Linked DNA regions of Anolis sagrei. The protein of the gene in region 3 purifies or fractionates together with the protein of the main gene of each other region. This does not show direct contact. Links are inferred from orthologs where the notes say so. Each region holds a gene or a part of one and is shown on either strand. Other genes may lie near its edges.

The links.
Region 1: the proteins of SLC39A12 (region 3) and ABHD12 purify together in Homo sapiens (co-immunoprecipitation; 3 studies listed by BioGRID and IntAct, counting the BioPlex papers as one, with this or other methods). This does not show direct contact. The link is inferred for Anolis sagrei from reciprocal best matches to the Homo sapiens genes SLC39A12 and ABHD12.
Region 2: the proteins of SLC39A12 (region 3) and NAT14 purify together in Homo sapiens (co-immunoprecipitation; 3 studies listed by BioGRID and IntAct, counting the BioPlex papers as one, with this or other methods). This does not show direct contact. The link is inferred for Anolis sagrei from reciprocal best matches to the Homo sapiens genes SLC39A12 and NAT14.

Annotation. Positions count from the first base shown.
Region 1 is NC_090021.1:21,791,630-21,798,789, forward strand, and holds the start of ABHD12 (lysophosphatidylserine lipase ABHD12), read right to left. Parts: upstream 3,082-7,160; 5' UTR 2,927-3,081; coding exon 2,811-2,926; intron 2,648-2,810; exon of another isoform or gene 2,603-2,647; coding exon of another isoform or gene 2,511-2,602; intron 1-2,510.
Region 2 is NC_090026.1:25,166,178-25,173,461, reverse strand, and holds the start of NAT14 (probable N-acetyltransferase 14), read right to left. Parts: upstream 3,092-7,284; 5' UTR 2,770-3,091; intron 864-2,769; 5' UTR 840-863; coding exon 759-839; intron 1-758. Other genes in the region: ZNF628 (zinc finger protein 628), read right to left, coding at 6,817-7,284. UniProt on the Homo sapiens protein: Probable acetyltransferase. May act as a transcription factor that regulates the expression of coproporphyrinogen oxidase by binding to a promoter regulatory element.
Region 3 is NC_090026.1:106,344,491-106,351,495, reverse strand, and holds the start of SLC39A12 (zinc transporter ZIP12), read right to left. Parts: upstream 3,078-7,005; 5' UTR 2,916-3,077; intron 1-2,915. UniProt on the Homo sapiens protein: Uniporter that promotes Zn(2+) import from the extracellular space to the cytoplasm across the cell membrane. The transport activity is temperature dependent. May play a role in neurulation and neurite extension.

The DNA.
Region 1 (7,160 bases), on a different chromosome or scaffold from region 3:
AGTATACACCAAGAGATCAATTATGTCAATGTTTAAAACAGCTTAAATCTGCATACCACAAAGAAACCAATAAGCCTTCACTAAATTAAAATCGTGTTCTCATACATTGAGAAACTTTCCAATATGTCCTGCATGGACTTAAATGAGACAAAACTAAAGGATTTTTGAAGATTACACAGAGACCTGTACATAAACATCTACAAAATATTCACTATCCAAATTCAAGAAGAATAATCCAGAAAAATTAGAATCCTTTGCAATCTGTGTAAATTTAATAATCCAATGAAGAAACATACATGAATCTGATGGGATGGCATTTTTTTTACATTTGACAAAGCAGGGCATAAATATTTGATGGAAGTTAAATATTTAAATAGGTAAAAAAACAAATCAACATTAATTTCAGTACCATGAGAAAGAAAAATGTGGGAACTGTAGTGTAGATAAGTGCTAAAATTGGCAAATGATTATCAAAATGTTTTATAGCTGTGAGAAAGCTTCTTTCTTTTGTATGTGTTCTCCAACTATCATTTTTTCAGGCAAGCTTTCAAAGATGAAGGCTTTTAAGATCAAGTCAGGAAGTGCTATGGTTTTAACTTGAATATGCATTGAATATGTTGAGTCCCCTTCAGGAGAAATAAGCGGGGTATAAATAAATATAATAATAATAATAATAATAATAATAATTCGCTTGACTAATGTTATACATAGAGGAATGTGACTAATGTGTTGTTAAGCGGCTGAGGGGGAAAAGGAAGGGGTCTGAAGCTGTTAGGAATGGTGGGAGTTGGAAGTCCAAGACACCTGGAGGGCCCAAGTTTGTCCAGGCCTGCTTTAGATCAAGAGGCATGAATTATGCCCAAAATTATCCAGTTTGGTCTTGGGCTCAATTCCAAATGTTGGTTATGCTTTAAGAAGTTCTATATGCCTTAGGTCCAGACTATCACAAAGATATATCTTCCTATCTCTGGTCTGTTCTCCAGTCCCCACATCCACAAAGATATAATACTACTACTACTACTAATAATAATAATACAAAAGAATGATACGAAGAAGAAGAGGAGGAAGAAGACCTAAGCGGCTGAGGGGGAAAAGGAAAGGGCCTGAGGCTGTTAGGAATGGTGGGAGTTGAAGTCCAAAACACCTGGAGGGCCTCAGTTTGCCCAGGCCTGTTTTAAATTAAGAGGCATGGCATTATTATGGTTTAATGTGTACAACAGTTTTAAATGGTATTTATATGCTTATTGTTTCTAGTGATTTTGTTATGTTTTATATGGTTATTGTATAATGAGGCATTGAATTTTTGTCTAGATGTATGATGTATGCCGCTCTGAGTCCCCTGAGGGATGAGAAGAGCGGGATAGAAATGAAGTAAATAAATAAATTATGCCCAAGATTATCCAGTTTGGTCTTGGGCTCAATTCAAAATGGGTTGTTGTAGGTTTTTCCAGGCTATATGGCCATGTTCTGGAGGCAATTTTTCTCCTGACTTTTCGCCTGCATCTATGGCAAGCACCCTCAGAGGTAGTGAGGTAGACCTGTCCAGAGGAGAGCGACTAAAATGATAAAAGGTCTGGAGAACAAGCCCTATGAGGAGCGGCTTAAGGAGCTGGGCATGTTTAGCCTGAAGAAGAGAAGGCTGAGAGGGGATATGATGGCCATGTATAAATATGTGAGAGGTAGCCACAGGGAGGAGGGAGCAAGCTTGTTTTCTGCTTCCCTGGAGACTAGGACGCGGAACAATGGCTTCAAACTACAAGAGAGGAGATTCCATCTGAACATGAGGAAGAACTTCCTGACTGTGAGAGCCGTTCAGAAGTGGAACTCTCTGCCCCGGAGTGTGGTGGAGGCTCCTTCTTTGGAAGCTTTTAAACAGAGGCTGGATGGCCATCTGTCAGGGGTGATTTGAATGCAATATTCCTGCTTCTTGGCAGGGGGTTGGACTGGATGGCCCATGAGGTCTCTTCCAACTCTTTGATTCTATGATTCTATGACCTCACTACCTCTGAGGATGCTTGCCATAGATGCAGGCGAAACGTCAGGAGAAGAATTGCCTCCAGAACATGGCCATATAGCCCGGAAAAACCTACAACAACCCAGTGATTCCGGCCATGAAAGCCTTCGACAATCAATTCAAAATGTCGGTTATGCTTTATTAAGTTCTATATGCCTTAGGTCCAGACTATATGATTGTATCTTCCAAACTTTGGTCCGTTCTCCAGTCCCCACCTCCACAAAGATATAATAATGCTAATAATAATACAAATATATATATATATATATATACTAAGAAGAAGAAGAAGACAACGACCTAAGCGGCTGAGGGGGGAAAGGAAAGGGCCTGAGGCTGTTAGGAATGGTGGGAGTTGGGGTCCAAAACACCCGGAGGGCCCAAGTTGGCCCAGTCCTGGCTCTGGCCTAAGCCCGTTCAATTGTTATGAGGCAGAGCCAGAGCAAGAATCAAGGCAACGGGGGAAAAGGCCTGGACGCCGACCCACCCCCTGGCGCACCTGAGGCAGCCCTTCCTGGGCCTGCAGTCGGCGAAGGCAATGCGGCAAAAGGCGAGGAAGGGGCCCGGCCGCCCTTTCAGGCAGGACTCCATCGCCTAACGGATCCTGCCTAGAATGGTCCTTCCTCCATTATCAGAACAGCGCCAAGGGCATTTCGCAGGGGCGATGCGACGGTTGCCATGGCGACCCGAGGGCCCGGATGATGGGGGGGGGGATAGAGAGAACAGCGAGTGGGCCGCCCGTTGCCGTGGAAACGCGGCCTTCACTCTCTCACTCACTCTCTCTCCTCTGAAGCCTTACCTGCCGAGCGTCCGCTTCATGCCGTCGCTGCCCGGCAAACGCAGGCTCGTCCTCAGGCTGAAGCCCTTCTCCAGAGGCTCATGCTCCAACGTGACGGACTCGTTCCGCTTTCTCATCCCGGCGAGGAGGTTCCCACCAGCAGCAGCGGCAGTAATACCAAGCAAGCCCAGACTCGCTCTGAGGGAAGACGCTCTCCGCCGCTACATCCTCTCAGCCCAGCAACAGGGCAGGGCGAGTGAGAGGCACCTCCCAGGCTCCACCAATCAGAAGCGGTTCCCCCCCCAGCCACGTGACCTGCCTCCCTCCCTGCCTCAGCCCAGAGAGAGGAGGCACTGCCGCTTGACTGCCCGGGACCAAGGTGGCCGCCGAAGCCTCAGCGTTGTCACGTGACGTCCCAGCCCGGGACCAAGATGGCCGCCGAAGACTCAAGAGCTCAAAGGAAAACAAAACGTCACCTATCTTTTCCCTTCAAGCCTTCACCAAACAGACTTTTATCCTTCCAATAAGTGTTTTTCTTCCTGTCATAAAGCAGCATTTTAAAATTATATAAAATATCATTCATTGAAAATCCCAGCCACTGCTCAAGTGAGAATATATTATAAACTATTATTTCATACTTTACTACAATGATTTTTTGATGACATATATGTATGTATATATATGTGTGTTCACTCGCTGGAACACCTCAGCAAGCAAGAGTCCAAAAGTGGCAGGCTCAAACCCAGCACTTCAACCAATGGCTGATACCAAATGAGAAACTCCCTCCTGGGCACACAGAAGACTGGGCAACTTGGAAGGCATTGAACAGACTGCGCTCTGGCACCGCGAGATGCAGAGCCAACCTTCAGAAATGGGGCTACAAAGTAGAATCCTCGACATGCGAGTGTGGAGAAGAGCAAACCACTGACCACCTGCTGCAATGCAACCTGATGCAGAGCATCTTCCCCCCCAAGCATTTGTAGTTCGCCAAGGGCCAGACAATGGATTCTGCTGCTTCCTGACCCAGCACACATAACTGGGTTCCTGTTTCCTCTCTGTGAATTCTCTGGCTTGTGCACTGGACCCTGGCCCAAAGATCAGGGAAATGTAGTTCTCCAAAGGACATTGCCCCACTCTCCACCATTTGCGGATTCCTTGAGGACTTTCTCTGCCCTCTCTGACTGACTTGGTGCCCTAGCGTCACGGACTTCCTCTATGAACTCCAAACCAAGCCGCTTGAGAAGCATGGCCCCCGCCTGTGGGTGCATGCCCTTGTTGCAAAGGATCATACCTCAGGAACTCTGCTGATTGCCTTTATTAAATTGCTGTGGGTTTTCTAATAAACTTTGCTGGGATGGGGAGGGGATGGGGACCCTTTTCATGAAATCTATGAGTTATGAAAGACTGTAAAGAATATATGTATGAAGTGTGTGTAATATGGAATGTAATGGAATGAGGTGCACCCTCACCCTTTCCTTGCCTTTCCCCTCTTGAACTTTACCCTATAAAAGAATATGTGACCAGGGGATTACAGTTAAGGAAATCCAATTTCCTTGGAAGGAACTCCATTCATATTGACATTGCATGGAAAATACTGGCAAATCTATGGCTTCGTTTTTCAGAGTTCAGACAAACAAAAGCCAGAGATTTTGTCAGCCAAAAGCCCGGAAAAACAGACTGATAACACCAATTGTGGTGTTTGTGCATGCTCCCTTGTGACAAAGGATCTCTTTGCCCACAAGGTTGAAGATCCAGACACCACCCATAGCCACCCTTTTTGCCTATACACATCTTTTATCAGGACCCAGGAAATCCCTTGTTCTCCCCATCCGCCTCCCTGCCGTGAAGAGATAAAAGGTGTTCCATCAGCTGGCAGACGCCTCCCAGGCATTCCGCCCCTCTGCGCTGTCAAACTAGAGCCCGCCTCCTGGCCGCTGATTGGACAATCTCTGGAGGCGCTCCGAGGGCTCTGATTGGCCCTCTGGAGGCAACAGCGGCCGGCGATTGGAGGGAGGGTGGGACCAGCGGCCAAGCCTCCTCCCAGCTGTTCCAGAGCCGGCCAACCAGGACAGAGGGGACTGACAGGAGGCGGGCGGGAGATTCAAGCCAGGATTCCTTTGTTCTGTCTGTATAAATATGCCTGAAAATCACTGTACTGTATGCTTATAGAGGAAATATCCCTGTAATGCATCCTTTTCAGCTGAATCGCTAAATAAACGCCTCGGTCGCAGATTGCCTCTTCAGCCTCTGGCGAGATTGATTTTCAACGTTTTTGCGTTTTTTTGAATTGGCATCCGCTGGCCGCTCGCCAAGGTCAGGACCCCATTCGAGGTCCTTTGGGTCTCCCCTCGCTGGGAGAACCCCCCAAAAGAGCTCGATATCATTTGGCTTTACCACGAAGGGACTGCTGCTTGAGGTTCCAGACTAAATTATAGCCTAAATTCTCAAGCAGGCGCCTTGGTCTGATTCTTTGGGCCAGCAGCGAAGGAGGAACGGCTTGGGAAAAGAGGCGCCTCTCCCAATTCGGACTTTCATTTGACCAGCTAACCAAAACTACAAATTCTCCCGCAGCCACTTCCTCCCAAGCTCTGACCTAGGGTTTCAGCACAAAGGAGCGCCAGGGAAGCCTTGATCTAAGGACTTCCAGGAAGAGGAGCGACCGACGCGGAAAGGGGGGAAGAAAACGTCCGGACGGGTAAGAAGCCAACCGCGGGCTGCCTTGGCTGCCAGGTGGGAGGGGATTCTAGGCTTTCTGAACCAGCTTCGGAGTCGGCCCACTGGGGAGGGATTCTCTAGGTCTCGGTAACAAATTCCTGGCGGGAGGTAGCGAACATCCACGTTTGAGGCCTAGAATAGCAACTCAGCTCGCTTTTGCGGCCTTGGCTGGAGCTACGCTGGAGAGGGAGCCCTTCCCTTTCGGACTGCCTAGCTGCCAAGGGCTGATCGCCTCGGGCTCTCTTGCTAGGGGACCGTTCAGGCTCTAGCCTGCCAGCGGTTGGGGGGGCTACCCTGATTAGCCACTTCAGTGTGGGGCTATCAAGAGAGATGGGCGCATGTTATTCTGGGATCAAACGTCCTGCTTCATCAGAAACATCTTTTGGGAAGATACTGGCGGAATGGGGCAGGGTTGCGTCGCCGACGCAGGCCAGTAGGGTAAAAAAATCGCATGGAGAGGTGGCCCTCCGGGCCCTCAGCAGGTGGAGTTTCGTGGCCCCTCATGGCAGTCGGATCGCTGTGAGGGGGCCAAGAGGGCCGAAACCGCCTTTGCCTCATGCTTTTTTACCATGTGCCGGTGGGAGGCGGAAGGGGGGTAGCTGCGACCAACTCCGACCATGCAAGGGGAAGGTTACAGAGCCCCAACCCCCAGGAAACCCCCTCCAGACCCCTTCACCCTCTCCCTTTGGAAGAAATTGCTTATTCCCCTACCATCCCATTCCCATTTCCCTTTACCCAATCTCCCTGACTCCCTCCTTCCCTTCCCAACCCCTCCATTTCCCTATTCCCTATTTATGATATGTCTGCATTTATATGCCCCTCTGTTTGTTGTTTTTTTTCTGCTCCTTGAGGAAATGATCAGGGAAATTCTTTGCTCTCCTCCTCTCCTGCTTTCTCCTGTGCCACCTTTTTCCTTCCTTCAGATGGAAAAGGGAGGCATTGCTCATTCCCTCCTTCACCAAGCCACTACATCCCTTTCTTTCAAAAGCTGAATCTTCAGTGCCTGTTTATTTATAATAAACAGTGTTTCCCCTCACCAGGAGAGACCCTGCCACTGATGTGACTCAGCTGCCTTGCAAAAGTCTCTCTCTCTCGCCTGGTTTCCCTGAACCAAGAGCTCTCTCCCTCTCCCCCTCTCTTCTGTGCAACTACAAAACCCATTTTCAGGGGCAGTCACCAATGTCCCTGCCTTTCCTTTGTTTTTCTCTTCACTCTCCAACTCCCCCTTTTTGCTTTCAAACCCCTCCTCCCTCTCTCCTCTTGCAAACAAAGGGAGGTGTAAAGGGGGGGGGGGGACCTTTTTCCTGCTCCTGTTTCCTTTTGCCAAATAAAGTTTGCTGGGTTTCTCTCTCTCCCTCTCTCTCTCTCTCTCTCTCTCTTTCTCTCTCTCTCCCTCTCTCTGCTTTTCCCCTTTTCTCTCTAAGAACCAGACCTCACCAAAGAATTCCATGTGCTTGTGAAATGTCTCTGAAACCCATCCTTTCTCTCTCTCTCTCTCTCTTCTCCCTCCCCTCCCATCTTCTAAGAGGCCAGTATTCTGTGAATTCTTTCCTCTATCTCCCAGAGAAATCCTGCTGCTCCCTCTTACCTCCTTCTTCAAAACCCTAAGGAAGGGATGTTCCAGAAGCATTCCCTCCTGACATTTCACCCACATCT
Region 2 (7,284 bases), about 81 Mb from region 3:
AGAAGGCCCTCTCTCTCGTCCCCACCAACCGTACTTGTGATGGTGGTGGGAACAAAAGGAGGGCCTTCCCAGAAGTTCATGCCGGTTCATAGAAGGAGATGCGATCGCAGAGATAGGCGGGGTCTGAACCGTTTAGGGCTTTATAGGTCATGACTTGCACCTTGAATTTATCTCGGCAATTTATCGGCAGCCAATGAGACTGTTTTAATAAGGGTATTGTATGCTACCTATAGTTTGCTCCAGTAAGGAGCCTGGCTGTTGCCCATTGTACCAGTTGAAACTTCCGGGCCGTCTTAAAGGACAGCCCCACATAGAGTGCATTGCAGTAGTCCAGTCTGTATGTAAACAAGGCGTGGACCACCCTGGCCAAGTCAGACTTCACGAGGCAGCAGCTGGTGCACAAGTTTGAGTTGTGCAAAGGCCCTCCCAGCCACCACCGACACCTGAGCATCAAGCAACAGCATTGAGTCCACGAGGACCCCCAAGCTACGGATCTGCGCCTTCTCTACCTAGGGTTGGCACCCATTCCTTTTCTTACAATTTGCATGGAGTTAAGAAAGAACCAGGCCCCTTTGGAGGCACAGCAGGTTAATCTGCTGAGCTGCTGAATTTGCTGACTGAAAGGTTGGTGGTTCAAATCTGGGGAGCAGGGTGAGCTCCCACTGTTAGGCCCAGCTTCTGTCAACCTAGCAGTTACCTGGGCATACAATCCAGACATCCCTGAAAAGAAAAGATGTAGGTGAAACAATTCATCTCACCTTCAGAAGCTCCAAAACCATTGGTGCCTCCTCTTCTCTCATTTCCCTGATGGCCAGTTGCTCAGGTTCCAGTGTAGGCATGCTGGCAGCAAACAGAAACAGCACCTGAAAGGAAAGAAATGTTGACCACGTTGATGAAAATTTGAGATGGAAGAAGAAAGAGCCTCCCATTGGCTTCATCTAAGTTATTAATAAAGATGTTGAACAGGCCCAGGACGGAGCCCTGCAGCACTCCGCTCATCACTTCTTTCCAGGATGAAGAGGAAGCATTGGTGAGCACCCTCTGGGTTCGTCTATTTAACCAATTACTGATCCACCTCACCGTAGTTTTGCCTAGCCCACATTGGAAGGTCATGGGGGACCTTGTCAAAGGCCTTACTGAAATCCAGGTACGCTACATCCACGGCATTCCCTGCATCTACCCAGCTTGTAACTCTATCTTACATACTCTTACATTGGAAAGACTACCAGTCCAACATCTCACCCTTTTATTATCTATTTTCCTATGGAAATGCATAGAATTCTAGGAGAGGTGAGCAAATGCTAACAAAAACATCTCAAATTAATTAATGCTGTATTTAATACTTTTCACAATACATACTGTATTGCGAACGTATTAAACAGGTACAGCTGAAAAGTGAATATTTTAGCTAAATAATTTGGGACAAATAATTTTATTTATTTTTTTGGATTTTTAACTTGGGAGCACTGACCACACAGGATCATCTTGAAAAGTAATGTGAAACAGAATATATGCAATGCTAACTTGATGGTTCGGTATCCCTTATTCAAAATCACTGGGACCAGAAGTGCTTTGAATTCTAGATCTTTTCAGATTTTGCAGTACAGTAGACCAGTGGTTCCCAACCTGTGGTCCATGGACCACCTGTGGTCCACAAGAATGAAAATATGGTATGCAGCCTCACCATTACTACACCATTGCCTCGAAATCACGTGGCAACAAGAGTGACTGGTCTCACGAAAACCCCTTATAGTGCCAATGCAACGGGCATGTTAGAAGGGGAGAGCTTGTGGTCACTAGTCATGTGTTCCCTGGTCAAAGTGGCCCCTGGTCAAAGTAGTCCCTGGTCATGTGGTCCATGGTCAAAGTGGTCCTTGGACAAGTGGTCCATGGTCAAAAAAGGGTTGGGAACTTCTACAGTAGTCTCTCAGTTAATTGGAACTCACGGGGATTGGTAGCTGTCTGGCTAAATGTAGTTGCAGTTGATTGAGAGTTACTATTAAAAATAGGCCTATATACTATACCCCATACTACTATCACGCCATAAACTCTGCATTGACTTTCATCTTAATACTAAAAGGCAGTAATTAAAAGCAAATGAAGACAAATAAAGACAAACTTATGTTAACAGGGTTTTACTGTATTCTAAAAATGCTTGCATACTTAAAGTATTTCTATTATTATTATTATTATTATTATTAGCAGTTGCTTGAGTTGCGGTCAATTGAGAGTCTACTATACTTGCAAATACAAAATGAAATATCTTGGGAAATCAGGCTCCATATGCCTTAGACATATAGGCTAAAGGTAAGAAAAAATTTTTTTATAATTTTGTGGAATAAAATAAGTTTTTTTAGACTGAACCATCAGAAAGCAAAGGCATCACTATCTCATGGGCAATTTTGGAGTATTTTAGGATAAGAGATACTCAAAATGTATGGTATTGCATAATCCTGTATGCATTATATTTAAATCATTGGATCCGCTTATTTACAGTTATGATCACTTTGTGCAGACAGCTCAGCATTAGCCCAAAATAGGGGATTCCCCCCCCCCCCCCCAATAAACAATGCTAGTGGATGAGAATGAAATAAAATAAAGGACTACCATGGGAAATTGCAATTTTATAATAAACCCCATTCTGCAATAATAAATCGACTTTGCAAAATATGGCCCATTAACAACCACAAAACGCCCTGCACAAAAATAGAAGCGCTCGATTTAGCACAGAACCCTTCACACTCCCCCCTCCCCGGACAATGGACTCACCCAGCCTGCAGAAAGGAGCTGCTCTCACCCCTCCAGAGCGACATGGAATTTCCCAGAGTCTCCCGAAGGCCCCGCCCCCATGGAGAGAGAGAGAGGGAAAAAAGAGGGAGGGGGGTGCCGACCCTCTCACTCCGACCGCTCTCGCCCTGCAGCAGGTGTGCTCTAGCGGTGTGCGCATGCGCCCCGTTTCCGGCTTCTCGCGCTCTTCTGTACCTTAGTAACAGTTGCTACGGGGACGAAACGAGGCCTCTTGAGCTGCGTGAAGCCTTAGCTGTAGTAGCTGGCACTTGTCAAGCATTCCCTTTTATGGTAGAGAAGGAGAGAACGCTGAAAGTGTTGAAATGAAGGCCCACACAGCTGTATAAAATCCACATTGAACTGGATTATATGGCAGTGTGAACTCAGATAACCCAATTCAAAGAAGATGTTGTGAATTGTATTGTCGAAGGCTTTCATGGCCGGAATCACTGGGTTGTTGTAGGTTTTTTGGGCTGTATGGCCATGTTCTAGAAGCATTCTCTCCTGACCTGACAACCTCTGAGGATGTCTGTCATAGATGCAGGCGAAACTTCAGGAGAGAATGCTTCTAGAACATAGCCATACAGCCTGAAAACCCCACAACTCATATTGTGGATTATCTGCCATAATATTCTGGATTATATGGCTGTGTGGAATATAGTTTGTCACAACCTCTGAAGATGTGGTTCAAAATATTTGTGGGGGGAAAAACATGGCACTGGCATTAGCATCTGCAACCAGTTTTGTTATGTCCCTTAAAAAATCAAATCTCTGCAGGTGATTTAAACGTTTTAAAGAGCTGCACAATGCTCCTATGTCATCAACTTCACTGAACTGGCCACATTGGCCAAATGGCCGATCATTATCTCCCAAAGCAGTTACTATACTCCTAACTCAATAATGGGAAATGTAATGTTGGTGGACAGGAAAAGAGATTTACAGAGGGGCTTAAAGCCAACCTTAAAAACAAACTGTGGCATTGACACCGAGAACTGGGAAGCCCCGACCCTTGAGCACTCTAACTGGAGGTCAGTTGTGACCAGCAGTGCTGCAGAATTCAAAGCACAAATGAAGGGCAAAAGGAAGAAACGTGTCAAGAGGAAGATGCGTCAAGCCAACCCTGACCAGGACTGCCTTCCTCCTTGTAATTGATGTCCACACTGCAGAAGAACATGCGGATCAAGAATAGGGCTCCACAGCCACCTATGGACCCACCACTAAGACTTGGAGGACCATAATCCTTGGGCTACAAGGGATCACCTAAGCAAGCAAGCTAGCATTGCCTCTGTATGGTCTGAATGCACCCTCCTGTGGCCAGAACCAGGTAGTGATTCATGTTGGTATCTTAAAAAGTTACTTTGTGGAAATCTGACATGCAAAAAAGGTAATGTCAGAAGCGGCTACTATGCTTTACCCCATCTTGCTCATATCTGTGAGATGTTACCTTACTCCGAAATGTCGCATTTAACATTTGCATAACATACACAGCCCATAGGAGAATTGGTTTAAGTGTTGTTCCTCTAAATGTGCTTTCCCCTAATTTTTAATGAAGAGTCAGTACAGTCTGTCCTTCACATTTGTGGTTTTAACTTTTGCAGATTTGATTATTCATAGGTTTGATAAAAATGTTATTTCTATGAATATCTAGATCCTCCAATGTGATGCTATATACAACTTCCAGTAGAGGTTGAGCAGAGTCATGCCAGGGGACACAGAAAATTTCTCTCAGGTAAGAAATTATCATTTTTAAAATGTGTGGCTTTTCAATTTCATAAGGATCTTGTGCCCCTCAACTCAGCAAATGGAGGGCTGACTGTGCTTTATAATAAATACTATTTATAAATGAGGAACACAAGATTTTTAACCAGCCAGAAATAGGAACGGCCACTCCAGGTTTTGACATTGGAGTTTTCAGAAAAAAGTCTGCTGCATCCATGCTGCACTTCATGAAATGTAGTCGTTATGCTGACACGTTTCCTGAATTGACCATAAGCTATTGAGACCTAAAATTGATCTGCCAGAAACCACTGGCCACACCAAAATAGCTATCCAAAAGCCCAAGACCTGCATCCACTTCAACTATTGGGCTTAATATAAGCTGCCAGCTGTGGGTTGTAATGGGATAGTAACTACTGCTGGGGGAAAAACCCAAAATAAGCACAGAAATGAACAGGAAAACCTGAATTACTAGGTTATGTTCTTAAATCTGGAAGGAATGTAAATTAAAGGATGCCTATAGGACTTAATTTGAGCCAAAAGGACTCTCCCCCCCCCCCCCCCCCGCCCTCCATCTTTTCCTATGCTTGGACTCACCGCTGGAACAAGTGAAGTTATATGAAGACAATACAATTCCTTACCATTGCCTGCACTGTACGTGACCAGTTGGTGCAATAGGAAAAAACATGTAAAGGGCCAAAAAGTTCCTTTTTGCTGCTTTGAGGCATATCGTGGAGTTTTCATCTCGTACATACCATTCTCTGAAGCATTTCTGAACACTCCTGCTTTCTGGTGTTTTCTTGTACATTCAGATCAGGATTTACTGGTAGATAAATATGTATTATTTGCAACAGCTCATGTTCCTTAATACCATGTAGAACTGCAATTTTAAAAACCATTTATTATATTCTGGCTTTGCAGTAATTGCTTACCTTAGTATTCTTCACCTGTAAATATTTTTGAGTTGGTCACCTTAATCACATTTTTGTGCTTTGAGATTTCTGCTTGCATATGCAAATTATCCCAATGTAGAGTATGTAAGATATAACTTGCTCTGACTTTTGAGATACCATTTTACATTTGGTTACCCTATATACTGATATAAATCTAGAAATGTTAATCAAAACATTCCAAAAAAACTCAGTCAACTTATTCACGGATCAATGTGAATACTGTAGCTCAATTCTCTTAATATACTCACCTACACAGCAATCCACAAAATGGTGATTTCAGCCAAATTCACTAGTCTTCTCTTGCAGTTCAGTCCCTCACTGAACTACAAATCCAAGGATTACTTAGAGCAGACTGCTACAATGGTATCAAACTGATATAATTGATTCTGTAACACCTCAGATTTTAAGGGAGCAGAAACCCATGTATTATTAGAGATGTGAACCCTGTCCATCCATGATACATTCAAGAACAGGACTGAAAGAAAGGCAAAAGTGCTTCAAATCAGTCTTTTATTTTTCTTCTTGGGCAAAAGAGTCTGTGGCCTGCTTGTGTTTGTTAGCACCAGGAACTGAGATCCACTGAGAAAAGTGGTTCTCCATATGGTGAAGATAGGGCTGGAATGGGGAAGAACAGACAAGAAGGACGTAAGTGAAAATGACCATATGACTGGGAAATGGAGCCTGTGACAAATTTATGAAACTGCCCCTCACCGCATCCAGACCCCATGGAAGACCTCCCCCCCCCCCCCAAAAAAACCCCAAAACGATCCATTGTTCAGTTACATAAAAGGAGTTTACACCATTACATAATGTTCCAGAGCATTCTGGTCTGATGCTGTGACATGGAAAGGAAATGTGAGAGAAGCCAGACATGCAGTTGCTTCCCACAGATCACATTTTCTGTTTTATGTGGCAAGAAACATGAAAGTCTTGGCTGTCTTAACCATCACATTGAATGTACATTTAGATCTTTGCAGAACAAAATATTTCAAGCACAGGGAAGCAGGGGTGGATCTGAGGCAGACAGAGTGCTCATCAGGTTACACTTTTCTTTCATGCAATATAGGGGTATACAAGTGCTTGGGCAGAGGATACCACTGTGGCTGCAGGGGCAGTAGAAGCAGCAGCATACCCATGAGCAGTCAGGGGAACAGCCATGAGCATGCTTTTGCGGAGAAAGACTTCATTGAGAAGAACCTAAACCAAGCTCACTGGGAGAGATGTCAATCCCATCCGTTGCCTAGAGAGAATCCACCCTGAGCAGCACTGATTCTAGCAACTGGTAGACCGGATCTGCTCCTCTTTGCTTACTTGCGAGACCTGATGCACTAGCACAACGTATGCAGAGACACATCCACTTTCAGAATGTGTGAACAAGCTGCATGCTGGGCACCGCCTGAACTATCTGAATGGAGGGCAGGCCTTGGGATGTTACTGGACTCTGCAGAAGCTGCACCATTTGGGAAGTGCTGTTGTTGTCGAGGGAAGGCTGTGTGCTGTCCGGACTGCTCACCTGCAGTGTAGGGACACTCTCTAACACTTGAAGAGTCTGTTCTCCCTGAGCACTGCGAATGATGAGAAGGTTCTGCCCAGACCCTGAGCTACCCTCAGAACCCTGCACCTGAAGGCCAGGAAGTTCCTGTACAGTCTGGATATCCTCTACTTCCTGCACACACAGCCGGGTCTGCTCCCCACCTGCACCCCTCAGCACCAAGACCTTTTGAAGCCCTTCCTCAGTCTGTAGTGTCTCAAAATGCATGTCCTGTACACCCTCAAGGCTTTCCACTTCAGCCCCTGGTCCTAACAGCTCATCTCCCGGAGAGTTCTG
Region 3 (7,005 bases):
TATGTTTAGGGGAAGGTTAATGATTTCTTTTTAGCTGCATACTGTGAACACTAGAAAAATTCAATGAAGACTGCTTATTACCGGTGGAGTTAACATGCTTACAAACCAGTTTCCAACATTCAGTAAGGAGAATTTATGAGCTACTGAACCAAGGAAGCCATACACAGATTCTACTCTAGTATTGGAACATCTAGGGAAGGGCTGTCAACCTTCCTCCTTCTAGGTCAGTGGTTTTCAACTTTCCTAATACCACGACCCCTTAATACAGTTCCTCATGTTATGGTGACCCCCAAACTTTAAATTATTTCTGTTGCTACTGTTATGAATCGTAATGTAAATATCTGATATGCTAAATATATTTTCATTCACTGGACCAAATTTGGCACAAATACCCAATATGCCCAAAATTCAATACTAGTGGAGTTGGGGGGGGGGGGCGCGATGACAACTGATTTTGTCATTTGGGAGTTGTAGTTGCTGGGCATTCTGAACCCCACTAATGATGGAATCCAACCAAGCTTGGCACACAGAATGCTCATGACCAACAGAAAATGCTGGAAAGGTTTGGTGTGCCGTCGCGCCTGGGGCTATAGAGAAAGAGGCATGGACGTGACTGCTTTCCCCAGGGGATTGCTTTCTTGCCCTCCTTTAGGGAAACTGGAACTCCCAAGGACCAGAACACAACAGTTAACTCAAAATGATGTTTATTGTTAACAGTTCTCTTTCTTTGACACAAACTTTATGTTTCAACTGGGAAAAGATACTTTATAAACTCTAAGTCCAGGGTCCCAGGAGTAACAAGCTGAGAAGCTTTTCCTGTTCCCTCTCTCTCAATGGCTATGGATGCCGGAGCAAACCACAACCCCAGTTCAGTGGCCTAAGCTGAAGGACAAGACCTTCCTATGGTGCCACAGAACCGGTGTGAAGGCGCCTGAGATCTTCACAATTCTATTCAGGGTGGTCTGAACATAAAGAATAAGACTCAGGGAAAATAAACCTAAGAACTGATAGTAAAAAATGCCTTGACCAGGGGCTTTTGGGCCAAGCTTTTGGACACGTCCATCCAATGAGTCTTTTACTGAGGTAAAAAAGGTGAGGGAGAAACCTTCCCTTTCTCCCTTGGAAGGGGCGGAGCCTAAACAACTGAACTGGGGAAACAAACCAATTGGTGAACAACAACAATAAATTGACAGCTATAGTAACCAATGAAATTTAACTATACATGTACAAGGTAGACAGAAATAAAATGGCAGTTTAAAAATCCTGCAACTAACAGTTCCAAATAAATGAGGCGCCACACGCGCCGTCACATTTGGTGTGCATTGACCTTGAGTTTTTGGAGTTTTCGTTCACCTACATCCAGAGAGCACTATGGAATCAAACAATGATGGATCAAGACCAAACTTGGCTTGAATTCTCAATATGTCCAAATGGGAGCACTGGTGGGGTTTGGGGAAAAGACAAAAGACCTTGACATTTGGGAGTTGTAGTTGCTGAGATTTATAGTTCACCTACAATCAAAGAACATTCTGAACTTCACCAATGATAGAATTGGGCCAAACTTCCCACACAGAGCCCCCATGACCAACTGAAAATACTGTGCTTTCTGATGGTCTTTGGTGACCCCTCTGACACCCCCTCATGACCCCCCCCCAGGGGTCCTGATCCCCAGATTGAGAAACGCTGTCCTAGCTTATTAATAAATGGCTGCTTCCATCATAGTGCAGATGGGAACTGTTGTTCAGCAAGTTCTGGAGAGCCATGGATTCCCTCACTTTGATCCTTGGGCAGACACATGATGACACTGTAGGATGCTGAGATGATGCAATGGAGTTGCCAATTTCAAACTACCAGTAGGTTTTCAGAATGCTGCATTGTGGAAGGAAGAGAAGTAAGAAAACTGGGGGAAACAGTTCTATCCCTGCTTTTTTCTATTGATTTTTGTGTTTGAAAATACATAGGGATCATCTTGTACAATTGAAAATACCACAACATTCTGCTGCATGTGTAGAAAATGACAATCTTTGCAGCTATTGCAGTTTAAATGTCCCCCCTCTCTCACAAAATTGCAAAGTTCAAGAAATTACTAGAAATAACATTTTCCCATCCCTTTCTTTACTTTGGTCCAAAAAAGCTTTAGAGGAGTGGGGATGGGACAGCTTTTTTCAGCAATACACAATGATTTGTCATAAGAGGATATTTGGGGAAAATGGAAAATGCCTCAACAACTTAAATGGCAAGTGAAGCTGTTAATATTACTACTAACGTTGTCATGCCATTGCATATCTGCAGGATCATTTTTCTGCTGGTCTGTTTCTGTTTGTTTTGATATTCATTTTATACTATATGTAATAATTTTATTGCCTTGCTGAAAGTAACACCATGCAAAGATATCATCCTGCCCCCCCCCCCCGTAAACTTAATGTCAAAGTTAACTGATGACAATTCAAACAATACAACATACACCAAATTTATTTGAGGATGCTACAGAAGACATTATTACCGAACCTGCCCTCTATCCCATTACAGTATCGCTGCCAGATGAAAATGCAAACTACCGTACTTATTTTGGTTAGGAGGTGTCACCTATTTTACATTAAAAAATCTTAGAAATCAGCATCTGTACAGCATCCATGTCTGGTATCCAGTTCACGCATCAGACCTGCAAACAAATGTAGGTTTTCTTGCTTAATAAAGCTAAGCTAAGAGGCTGTGGGGAAAAAAACCAAGGTAATGAAAGTCTGCCAAAGCAGCACTTGGCCTACAATCAAATGAAATGTTAACACTGTGTGGAGCCTGTGATGGTTTAAAAAATGCTTTGAAATACTTTGAAAGTAAGCCCAATGTTAAGAAAGAAGTTAGCAATAGGAAGAAGGATTAGAAGGAAACCTCACTTTTGCATTCTTTCCTCTTACCTTCTGTGAAGGGGGAGGGGGAGGATTGTATACCTTTGACTCTCCAGTCTTTTGAATCCCACAGAGTGTTTTGCTGCCGGGAAGTCCAATGTTTTTAAAATTCCTTGATGGTGCTTCACAAGCTGGAGGATTAGTTTATTTCTGCTTCGAAAAGTTTCTGGTTGCTATGGGGAAGGCTGCACTTTAAGGTAACAATGGAGGTGGATTGACATTTGTACCAAGCTCTTCCTGGCAAGTTTTAGAAATCACATTACAAAACATGTGCAGTTAACTATTTTAAGTGTATATGTTATGCTAATATCTCTTAATCAAGCAAAAGCTGATACTTTTAATGCAGAAATGAACAAAAAAGTTGATAAAATCAACAGATTTGAAACTACTGTGTCTCTCCTATGTTGCAAATTGTTTTCTCTTGTTTACAACTGAAAAAAAATGTTTGAAACTATTTTCTGTTACTTTGTGGAAGTAGATTCCCCACCCACATTTTAAGGAAGGAAACTTTAGAGAGGAAGGGTACTCTCTATATAGTTGGTGCTCCCTATCCATAGATTCTGTATGCATGGATTCAATTATCTTCTGTTCGAAAATACTAAACAAAATACCCTTAAAAGCAAACCTTGTTTTTGCCGTTTTATTTGGGGATCACAATTTAACCATGCCATTGTATATAATGAGACTTGGGCATAGATTTTGGTATCCATGGAAGATCTTGTTTCCAAACCTTAGCTGATAGTATACTAAGGGCCCACAGTATTAGATCTTCTCAAATCTCCTTAATCAGAGAAGATTGTGTGTTCGTGTGTTATGTTCACTGGCCAAGAGGTCATACTATCAATTTTGGTTTCAATTGATTAGCGCACCACCTAACGTTAACCATCAGCTTTGCTAATATAAAGTTTTGGGGCTTGTATTGTGGTAAGTGGCTTGGGGCAGGGTATGCCATCTTGTTGTTTGCCTCAGGTAGTTTTGCTCACCCTGAGACTAAATAAAAATAAAGGAAAATAGATAATTTTCCAGTATGGTTTTGAAATTGTTTAATTTCCAGTGGACCTAATATGAAAGTTGATTATATTTATAGGTTTGTGATGAAGGCTCTGAATTAGTGGAGATGTGAATTCACTGCAGATTTTTGTTTTAAAGGAACTTCTCAAGGTACCAAACACTATCTATCCCATCAGGCCCGTAGCCAGGATTCCGTTTCGGGGGGGGGGGGGGGCTAAAAAAATTTCAGGGGGGGGGTTGGGGGGGGCTGAGTTTCGGGGGGGGTGAGTCTGAGTGAAAGAGGGTCTAGCCTAGCAAACCTTTAGTATCATTACCCCAATACTCCCATACATATGGGATATATTGAGAATGGTGATCAAATCATGATATTAATAAACATAACAGTTTAAATAATGCACCAGTAAGGCCTTTTCACGAACCACCATGAGAATTTCGGGGGGGGGGGGGGCTGAAGCCCCCCGAGCCCCCCCCCCCCCCCCGGCTACATGCCTGTATCCCATGATAGTTTTCCTCCTCAGGTTGCTGACCTAAAAACTTCTATTTGGGATCCTATCATGCACTTAGCCCCCACAATCCATTCACTGGGTTTAGCAACTGACTATAAAACTGAACAGCCAAATCTGTTTTCTGCTGAACTTGTGATAGTAATTGCTGAACCCTGTAACTCCTTTTATAACAGGCTTCTAGATAGAGATGTAAACTGATATAAGAAGGAAGATTTATTTCAGAAGAAAAGATTCAAACTTCAAGCAGCATGTAAGTTGACCCTGTGTTTATTTCAGTATCACTCTACTATCTATTTAAAAGTTTTCCCCTTAAGCCCTTACTCAACTCCTTACATGGTCTTCCTATTCACCTCTTTATATGATCCCATCAGTTCCCACTAAATCTCTGTTTTGATCTCTCTGCCTCCAGTTTGTGAACAGCCAAGCCTCTCCTTCTATATGTTCTCTCTTTGCCCCCATTTCCCTCAGCATTCTAAGAATCATGATTATTCAGCTCCACTCAGGTCACACAGGCAAATTTGTTAAGCATATACACAAACTCAAAATGAAGTCATCACCCCACAGACATAAAAGCCACCAGACTGCATTTATAGTTTTTTTTAAGACAACTAGTGCTCCTTCACACAAGGTTTTCTGTAAATGTAAATATACTTATGACCCCAAGGACTCAGTAAACTTGCAGGAGGCACGGGTACTATTGTTTTCAAGTGGATGCAATAGCTTGATAAGGTAGCCGGCAGTAGGAAAAGGGGAAAACCACATTCCAGATGGATACACTCAATCAAGGAAGCCATGGCCAAGTCTGCAAGACCTGAACAAGGCCATTAAGGATAGGGTGGCTTGAAGGTTTCTCATTCATAGAATCACCGTAAGTTAAAGTTGACAACAATGGCTGTAAACTTAAACACTTCTGATTGGTACAACTACACGACTACATGACATTTTGCCAGATTTTCAACTATCTTTAAGTATCTGATGGTTTGTTATGTAGAAGATGGATTCAAATTATATGAAGAAGTTCCACCTAAATATTAGGAAGAATGTCCTTACTGCCAACTCTCCATCTTTGGAGGCCTCTAAACATAGATTGGAGAGGCATCTTTTACGAGTGCTTTAGTTGTATGTTGTGGATGGTGAGGGGTTGGAGTGGAGTAGATGGTTCATGTAGCTCTTTCAAACTGTAACTAGTTCCTCAAGGGATAGTTTCTCAGGGAGCTTAAATAAACAGGACGCTTGGTTGTTATAATCCTTGACATCTGTACTCCGCTCAGGGCCCATATAAGTATAAATACAAATAAATAGAATAAGAAAAACATAGATGAAGCATTCCAAAGCAAGTCATGTCTTTCCAGAGTGGCTCCTTTTTTGCCACTTTTAGTAACTGAACAATATGAGAATATTAACAAGATTTGTCAAACTCTGTCCTTGGCTAGCAACAGAAAGCCTTCTTTGTGTACTGCCTGCTCAGCAAAAGAGCTTAGCTTTATTTAGAGGGTGGCGTGGGAGATGATATTTTAATGATGCCTCCCTTGGTAATGTGCAGATTTCCAATAGAGACTCACAATTGCTGTTGCTGATCCAGTGAATAACTTCTTTGGATGAACTTAGTAAATGAGCTTTGAGCCTTCTTAGTAAGCACAGCTAATATGAAGAACAAAGAAATGAACCTGCACACTTCAGATATCCCCTATGCTATCAGCGTGCCATGTGCATATCTCTTATAATTAGATCCATGGGGACACATTATTACTGGAAGGATCTATTCCCCACACAAAACAAAATGATGGTGGAGTGCATGAAGCAAGCCTGCCAACTCAGAAATGATGCCATAAATAATACGAGGGTTTAGAAGCCACATGCATAAGTACAAAGCATATACAGTGTGACCCACATATCCATAAGACTAGTATGTGTGGTTTCATATATTCATGTTCATCAAAATATATCTTCCCTGGGCATTTTAGGTCCTAAGTGTGACTCTATGGTATTATTGATCTGAAAGTACTTCATTTCAATAGAGTTTGCTATTATCTGTGGCTTTCCATATCCACACAAAGGCCAGGAATGTATCCCCCATAGATATGTCAGATTAAATCTTCCTCCCCCAACCAGGAAATTGATTTCAATTTTGAAAATTGCCATAATTGTCTGTACAGTGGATCTGACCTCTTTTCAATGTTTTTGCACATCACTGATGTGAGTGAACATATGGAATTCATCTCTGCAAAATCTGACTGCATTGGTCATCATCACACAACTGAGTGATTCATGTGTACATGAAAGTGATGTCTGTATATGAACATGGAATTTTGGAGGGAAGCAGGTATATTGATACTAGGGGCCATAAAAGCCCTGGGTGGTAAAGAAATATGGGCTTTTGTCCTATTCAGCAATTACAATATCTTAAAGTGGTCTTGTGATGTCATAACTGCTAGACAGCAATCCAACCAAAGCATTTCTAATGTACTTGAGATCAGAGAGATGGAAAATGATGTTCATAGTGACCTCCTAGTCATGGGGTGCTGGTTTATGGGGCCAGGGCCTGTTGTGGCAGTACTCCAAGTGGTCTTTAAAGAAACGAA